2 linked regions of the Alligator mississippiensis genome follow. The protein of the gene in region 1 interacts with the protein of each later gene in a pairwise test. Links are inferred from orthologs where the notes say so. Each region holds a gene or a part of one and is shown in the gene's direction. Other genes may lie near its edges.

Evidence for each region.
Region 2: the proteins of YTHDC1 (region 1) and TRA2B interact in binary tests that used the Homo sapiens proteins (3 or more experiments, as listed by UniProt). The link is inferred for Alligator mississippiensis from reciprocal best matches to the Homo sapiens genes YTHDC1 and TRA2B.

The regions. Positions count from the first base shown.
Region 1 is NC_081825.1:132,859,811-132,863,557, reverse strand, and holds the start of YTHDC1 (YTH domain-containing protein 1), read left to right. Parts: upstream 1-907; 5' UTR 908-1,019; coding exon 1,020-1,047; intron 1,048-3,747. UniProt on the Homo sapiens protein: Regulator of alternative splicing that specifically recognizes and binds N6-methyladenosine (m6A)-containing RNAs.
Region 2 is NC_081830.1:33,879,398-33,883,144, forward strand, and holds the start of TRA2B (transformer-2 protein homolog beta), read left to right. Parts: upstream 1-1,134; 5' UTR 1,135-1,227; coding exon 1,228-1,263; intron 1,264-3,747. UniProt on the Homo sapiens protein: Sequence-specific RNA-binding protein which participates in the control of pre-mRNA splicing. Can either activate or suppress exon inclusion. Acts additively with RBMX to promote exon 7 inclusion of the survival motor neuron SMN2.

The DNA.
Region 1 (3,747 bases):
ATTAGTAAAGCCGCTAGCTTCTTAAATGCAGAAAAATTATGTGTTGCCTTCAATGGCCGGAGACACCTCACCATGTGCACCACCTCTATTCAACACCCTAGGTCTGCCCCAGCGTTGCCAGGTCTTCAATATGAAATTAGCTCAAAATTATCGTTTTTGCTGAAAAATTATTATACACAGAAAGATATGCAAATAAGTGTACAAATGAACATGTAAATAAGTCTTCTTCTTTACTTTATATTGCTCACTATAACTCCCCAGTCAGAGAGTGAGAAGTGGGTCATCAAAGTTGAGGCATTTATTTATTTCAAGACAAGCTGTCCTAAAAAAGTGCTGACCACAAGCCTGAAATATGGTTAAAACTCCCTGAGAGTGACTTGGGCTTTGCATATGCTGCATCAGTGAGCTACCTCAAAAATTATCAGACTTTTTGAACACTTTTACTATTATTGATTATACATGGCAGGAAGGTTGAAGTGATCCTACAAATACAATCGTACCGTACACCTAGCAACACTGCACCCCTCCCCGTTTCGCGCGTGCGCAGCTTCCACAGCTTCCCACAGGTCTGCAGGCTCCGCACAGTCCGCGCCTCGTCCCGTCCCGCCCCGCCCCTCTCCGCCCCCCAGCAGTGACTGCAACTCGAAGGGGGAGGATGATTCCAAGCCCCGCCCCCCGCGCGCCCAGCTACAGGAGAAGCCACGTGATGAGCGTAGCGGTAATGCCCCGCCCTCCTACGCCTTCCGCGAGCGGGCGGACGCGATGACATCAGCGGTTTCGGCATTCTGGCACGACGCCCCACCCCCCCACCTCCTCACCGCCCAGCCCTGCTGCGGGCGTGCGCGCGCGGTGACGTCAGGGCCCGGCGTTGTGACGCGTGGAGCGTAAACAAAGCGGTGCATGATGGGTAGAAGGGGAGGTGGGGGAATTGTTCCGCCCAGGAAGCAGCCTCCATTTTAGGGCCCCGGCGGCTCCCGCGACCTAGGCCTGGCTCCGAGGCCCCGAGCCCCGGCGGCGGGATGGCGGCGGACAGCCGGGAGGAGCAGGGTACAAGTGCGGCGGCGGGCCCGGGCAGGGGGGGTTGGGATGTGTCATTGGCGCCGCTTTTGTAAGTCCCTGGGGCGGCATCCGGCCTGGTGCGCAGTGCGGGGGTCTGTAGAGGAGGTCCCCACCACGGCACCAAACCGCGTTTCTCTCTTTTTTTTTTTTTAATTCCCCATCTCGGATGGCGGCAGCGGGCGATGAGGCCGCTGCTCTCACTTCCTGAGCGGGTCGGTGTGGGCCTCTCGTCCTCTGCACATACCTACTCTAAGAAACATTTGTAGAAGAAATCCGAAGTCTTAGTGACAGCTGTCAGATCAAGATTGGTAGGGCGAAAGAGAGCTCTTCAGTCTGGTGTGTTAAGTCATGGGGCGGATCATATCTATCTACTCCAAAAATAAATAAATAAATAAAGCAGTTGACTTCATTCAGTGGGCTAGAGGCGATATCTTGGACTGACTAGATGGTTGCAAAAAAAAATCCCAAAACTCTTTCTTTGCAAGCTTTTGGGGGCACATGCCCTTCCTCAGGCATAGGGGAATGCAAAGATTGCAAAATTTCTCCCAGGTAGAAATGAAAATTCATATTTCACAGGAGGGCAATGTAAGATCTCTTGCCTGGAAAAGTTCATTTTTCATTTTCTGCAAATTAGGCTCCAGTAAAAGTTGGAGCAGTGTATTTACCCCAAAGGTGTCTGTTGGCAAGCAGGGTGTTGAGTTATGCTTCTTTCTCGTTACAGTGTTTAATTGCAGTAGAATTTGTCATTAGCATTATTTTATACAGCTCCCAGGCTCTAAGGAAAGGTGTGGTTGGTATCATGCTTGGTCAGTAGTCCTGAGCTCTGGTATGTGTAGTTCAGGTCACCTGCAAAGGGTATCTTCAACATGACATAAAACCATTTTTTTAAGCTCCCTGTCTCTGATAACAGGACAGCCAGATAATAGGACTGTTATTGTCATTTCTTTAACCGATTGGTATGTTAGCAGTGTTTAATTTTGACAGCTATGCATACTCTTTAACCATGGGGTTTCTTACAAAGTGGAGAAGTTGGTAGTAAAACTAGTTTTAATTCTGAAATCCTTTATGAGGCTTTTGTTTTCAGGTCTTTCCCATAGGACTCACTGAACATACAAAAAGTGGGAAGGTATTTTAAAAGTGTAAGAGTAAGATGTGATTCAGTCTCAAGTTTAGTTATTAAAGTCTCTGCAACTGTCTAAGACTGGACAAACCTCTGAGCTCTTATAATTTCTTCCAGCTCTACTTGGAATCTGAGAGATGCTTATGTCTTGCACCAGAACATAGGGTGGGGGGTCATACATTTATTTGTGTTTTTGAGAAACACGTGATAAAAGTGGTTAGGGTATAAATAATTTTGTTGTTTAGTTGCATGTGTCATTAATAGAAGAACTATTTTGTTATAAAGCACAAGATGCAGGAAGGAAGGAATGGTTTGAAGAAAACTGAGATGATGTTGGAATGGATTTGCATTTGACTGTATGGACTACACTTTGAATTTACTTACAATACAGACTTTAGGTCTGTACATGTCAAACATGAGGTGCTGTTCATTCCGAATATGGTGAGAGGTTGCTTAGTATGGGTTTTTTCTCTGAAACTAGGGTTCTGGAAAATTCTCACTTTGTTCTGAAGTTGATGAGCTTTTATTTTTTTCTTTCTTCCCTTTATGTCTTGATCTTTCAAAATGCTGCTGAAACGGCTGCAGTGGGGTGACAGGGAGGGGGTTTACCCTAGTCGCTCTCCTTTTCAGCACCCGCTTTCTGCTACTATGTGACATGGCCCTGTCTGGTATGCAGAAAAGTCATGGGCTTGTGCCCACATAGGATGGGTTTCCACCCCTGTTGTGACAGGCCAACCCAGTATGCGGCAACTGATTTTTCCAGACACTTGGAAAAAATAAGCAGAGATGGAAGAATTCAGAACAAGTGCTCCAGGGGAGATGGGGGACAGAGCAGAGCACATAGGGCAGATTGGGCAATGCCCACTGGCCCTCAGATGAGTCCAAGGAGCCAGTGGATGCTGCCCAGTGATACTCTGCACACAGATGTGAGCAGACCAGGAACAGACCAGTTAGTTACTTTCAAGGGATATGAGCTTGAAAGACTGTAAACCCCCTCTTAGAAATGGAGGCCACTGAGAAAGTAACTAATTTCATGGGATAAACGAAATGCAAAATGGGGATGGGAGTGAGTGTCAGAGGTTCAGAACAAGTGCACTGTGGGGAAAGGACACCGAGCAGAGCACACCAGCCAATGTCCATTCACCCTGGGTTGAGTCCAGAGAGCTAATGGACACTGTCTAGTGAAACTGTCCAGGGATGTGAACAGACCAGAGACAGAAAAGCAGTTCTACAGTCCCTAAGAGTCTCTGTCTTGCCCCCCCCCCCCCCAAGCTTCCTTCCTGGCTAAGTAGATCACTAGGTTGGACAAGGCCATGAGAAGATTGCCCAGGAGGTCTCAGTATTTGGGCCCATGGACAGAGACAGAGTGTTTCTTTCAAGGGATCATGGACCATTGCCTGCCAAGGAGAACTATAAGCTTCACTTGCAAAGGGAGGCCACTGAGAAAGTAATGGCTAATTTCTTGGGACAAAGGAAAGACTAAACAGGGATGGGAGTGATGGTCAGAGGTTCAGAATGAGTGCACCAAGGGCCAATACTGAGCAGAGCACACCAACCTGTGCTCATTA
Region 2 (3,747 bases), on another chromosome or scaffold:
CGGACTCCCCTATTCCCAGACCACATATATAAACACCCTATATCCATCTCGCCCAGTCTCCCATGTCACACCGCTCATTTTGGACGTATGACCTTCATTCTCATCCCTATTTTGTGTTTTAGTTGTCCCCCAAAATCAACACAGCTTGTTCTGAACCTTTGACCTTCACTCCCATCCCTGTTTTGTCTTTTGGCTGTCCCATGCAATCAGTGATGTGCCCTTAGTGGCCCATTCCTTCTGTGGTTAAAGCCATGCTTGGTGGGCTCCGGCCACGTTCGGCAATGGCACCTCGAAACGGGGTCACACCGGACATTGGGACTGACCAGGATTTTTCCTCTCCCACTTGCAGCTTCGAGTAGGGAAGGTCTGGGGAGCTCTGGTGCCCTCATGCCTGTGCCCAGCAGCTACCAATGCCCCTTCCCTCCAAGCCCGTGTCTGGCCCCTTTTTCCCCAGGGAACCTCTACTTCTTGCACCAGTGCCAGTGCCTGGGGCAGCTCAGCTCATCCCCGTGCCTCCACAGACACGAACTCTTCGGCAGAAGGGCGTGGCGTGCACCAGAGAGCTGCGGCTGGCCTGGCCGCACTAGAGGCATCCTTTTTGCCCCTTGCTTCTGGCCCCAGCTCAGGTGCGACTGAGCCCCTCGCTGGGGAGCTCCCACGGCCTCAGCCACAGGCTCTCTGTGGCAGCGCTGCCAGGTCTTAAATATGAAAAGCTCAAAATTATTGTGTTTTCTGAAAAAATACCATACACTGAAAAAACATGCAAATAAATTTCTCCTTATTTGCTTTCTCTTGTTCACAGTGAGTGAGACCTGGGTTCAAGTTGAGGCGTTTATTTCGAGCCAGTTGGTGGGGAGGAAGGGCTGACAGCCGACCCCACAGGCGGTTAAGCCTCCCTGAGTGTCACTGCTTCGGTTTCCACCTGCGGCCTCTAAAAGGACGGTCCACATGGAACACCTTTACTGTCACTGATGCAGGCCCGGCAAGCAGCAACACCGCCGCTCCCGCCCCGCCCCCTTCCCCTTCCCCTCCCCCTCCCCCTCCCGGCGCGCGGGGGCGGGACCGAGGGCTCACAGGAAGGGGGTGGAGCTGAGGGGTGTCAGGTGACGACGCGCGCGCACGGCCTGCACGTCACTTCCGCTGCGGAGAGCGCTCGCGCCTGGGACGGTCGGGTCGGGTCGGGTCGGCGGCGCCGCGGTCGCCCGGAGCTCGCGCGGGGGGGAAACGATGAGCGACAGCGGGGAGCAGAACTACGGCGAGCGGGTAATACACGGAGCTGTGCGCGGGCGCCCGCCCGGGCGCGGGGCTGTGCTCCGCCGCGACCCGGCCCGGCCCGGCCCGGCCCGCTCGGGGGCCAGGAAAGCGAGGCGGAAGGCCACGGCCCGCCGCGCGCGGGGAGGCCTCGGTGGTCGCGGGCCCCGGGAGGCGCCCGCGGGGTTGGGTTTGGCGCGAGAAAATGGCCGCCGGGCCGGCCGGGGGGGGAGGGGCGGCACGGGCGCTCTAGCCGCCCCGCGCGCTCTGTGGTGAGTCCGCCCGGCGCCATCTTGGGCTGGGGACCCGGGCGCGCGGCGGAGGGACAAAATGGCCGAGGGCCGTGGGGGCGCGGCCCCGAGCGCCCCTCAGCGCTGCCGCCTCCGCCCCGCCTCTGCAGGGCGGCGGGTGCGGGGCCGCTGGGCGGTGCGGGCGGCCTGTGCAGCGACCCGGGGCGCCGGCCTCGTGTGCGGCGGGGCCCCTTTCCTGGTTCACCCCGCACTCCGCTTGGGGGCCGCAGACAGGCCGGGCCGAGGGAGGGGGGCGTTAGAAACCCCCTGGGGCAGCCCTGCGCGGGCCGAGATCCTGCCCCAACTCACGGGCAGAGGGGCTGAGCCGGTCACCCGTGACAGCGCGCCAGCCTCTTCTCCAGGGAGCCGCTTGGTTCAAATGGAAAAAGGATTGAAAGAGGCTTTTCACTTCCTCCCGTTGCTGGGATGTGTAGTCGGTAGGGTCCTAGGGAAGAGGCTGCAAGGGGCCTCCCAAGGTCACCTAGTCCAGCACCCTGCCCAGTGCAGCATCCTCCCTGACCAGAAACCAAGCGTCTTCATTCTAGGTGTCAGTCGGTAGAACAGTTTTTAAGCCTCTCATGGAGGTTTTGCATTGCTTTTCTTAGTGAGATTAGGCTAACTCCAGAAATCAGTCTGGGGTGTTAGCTGTTCATTGCATCCTGGCACTGCCCTTGCAATAGCAGGTGTAGCGTTTTCTAGCTTCAGCAGAGATTTGGCTGCATTGGGCAGCGCTGGGTTTTGAGGTAATCAGCAGTGATAACTAAAGGCTGTGCTCTTTGAATGAACTGGTGCCCTTGGAGGTAAAAGTGATAGCCATAATTAGATGATGTTTCATCTAGTAACATTTCAGACTTGTTTTATTTTTCAAGAGCATCCATATCCTATGCTCATCCTAAATAATCTACTAAGAAAAGAGTATATTTGAGGTGGGATTAAGTCCTGCTTACAGTGAACCATCCAAAAAATGGCGGTAGCTATACTTTGCTTTTGGCTACTGTGTAAGCACACGTTTAACCCTACTTGGGATGACCTGGCAGGGTATTCTAGGAAAGCTGTTTGCCAAAACACCGAAAACAAACGAACAAATGAAGCAGTAGAGGCAAGAGGACCTTACATTAGGGAATAGTAACAATTTCTAAAAATCAGGTTATGAATCTTTCTGGTTTTGGGGTTTTCCAGAAAGTCATATTGTAGGCAGTGTTTGGAACATGCTAGTATTACTCATGTGGCTCATTTGGACTCTTGGAAATTCATAAATATGCTTGGTATTAACAAGTGTCTTTAAAAATGGAGAGTGTAGATAACTAGTTACAAGAGATTTGCTATTGTTAAACTAGATTGCAGGTTGTGGCTTTCATGAGGTTAATTTGTCTACAGAATAACATACTGCTATGATTGCAGTTTCCTGTTGTTCTGCCTGTGGGGGGCCCCCCCCCCCCCCACTAATGCTAATTCATCATTGCTGAGTAAGGTTTGTTTGCATTCTCCAGGAGTGGTTAATTAACCAGGGTTTATTTGATGTATTTTTGACATGTTGCAGGGTTAGTGTCATTCTTCCTCAAGTTGGAAGTTGTGGTGTCCCTATTTCATAGATGGAGGGCTCAGTGAGTGAGATGTAATTGACTTCCATTGTCATTAGTCTTGCCACTGCTTGCCTTTCTCAGCATAATCAGGCCCTCGTGTGGCTTCATTGATTAGTTTTCCAAGATACAAGTGTGTGAATTTTGTTCCAAATACAGAAGTTTAAATAAGAGCAGCTTGCTTAGAAGGCACTGTGATAATGATTTAGATCATATGTTCATAGATTATATGGCTTCACCTAAACAATAATATTCAGACAGGAGAGGGTACTTTTGGAAAATGGATAGTTGCCATGCATTGATTTGGAATCAGTTGAGACTTGCAAATACTGACCCTGACTCTTGACCAGTATAGGTGGAGGGCACTTGTTGTTTTTGGATTTGGATTTGCTGGCCTTATCTCCAAGTAGAAAAAGATGCACATTTCCAGATCATCTTAGAATACCTTTTCCTAGTGCAGATGTCTGTTGAAGAATGAGGCTATTCTAGATGTTCCAAATGCCTCTGCCTTCTTTGAATTATTTAATGCTACTGGCAACTTGTCTGTAGTATGTTTTTTCAACTTGCATTGTTTAAAATATGGAACAAGTTAATCTTGCAGTTGTATCTAATGCATTATCACAAGA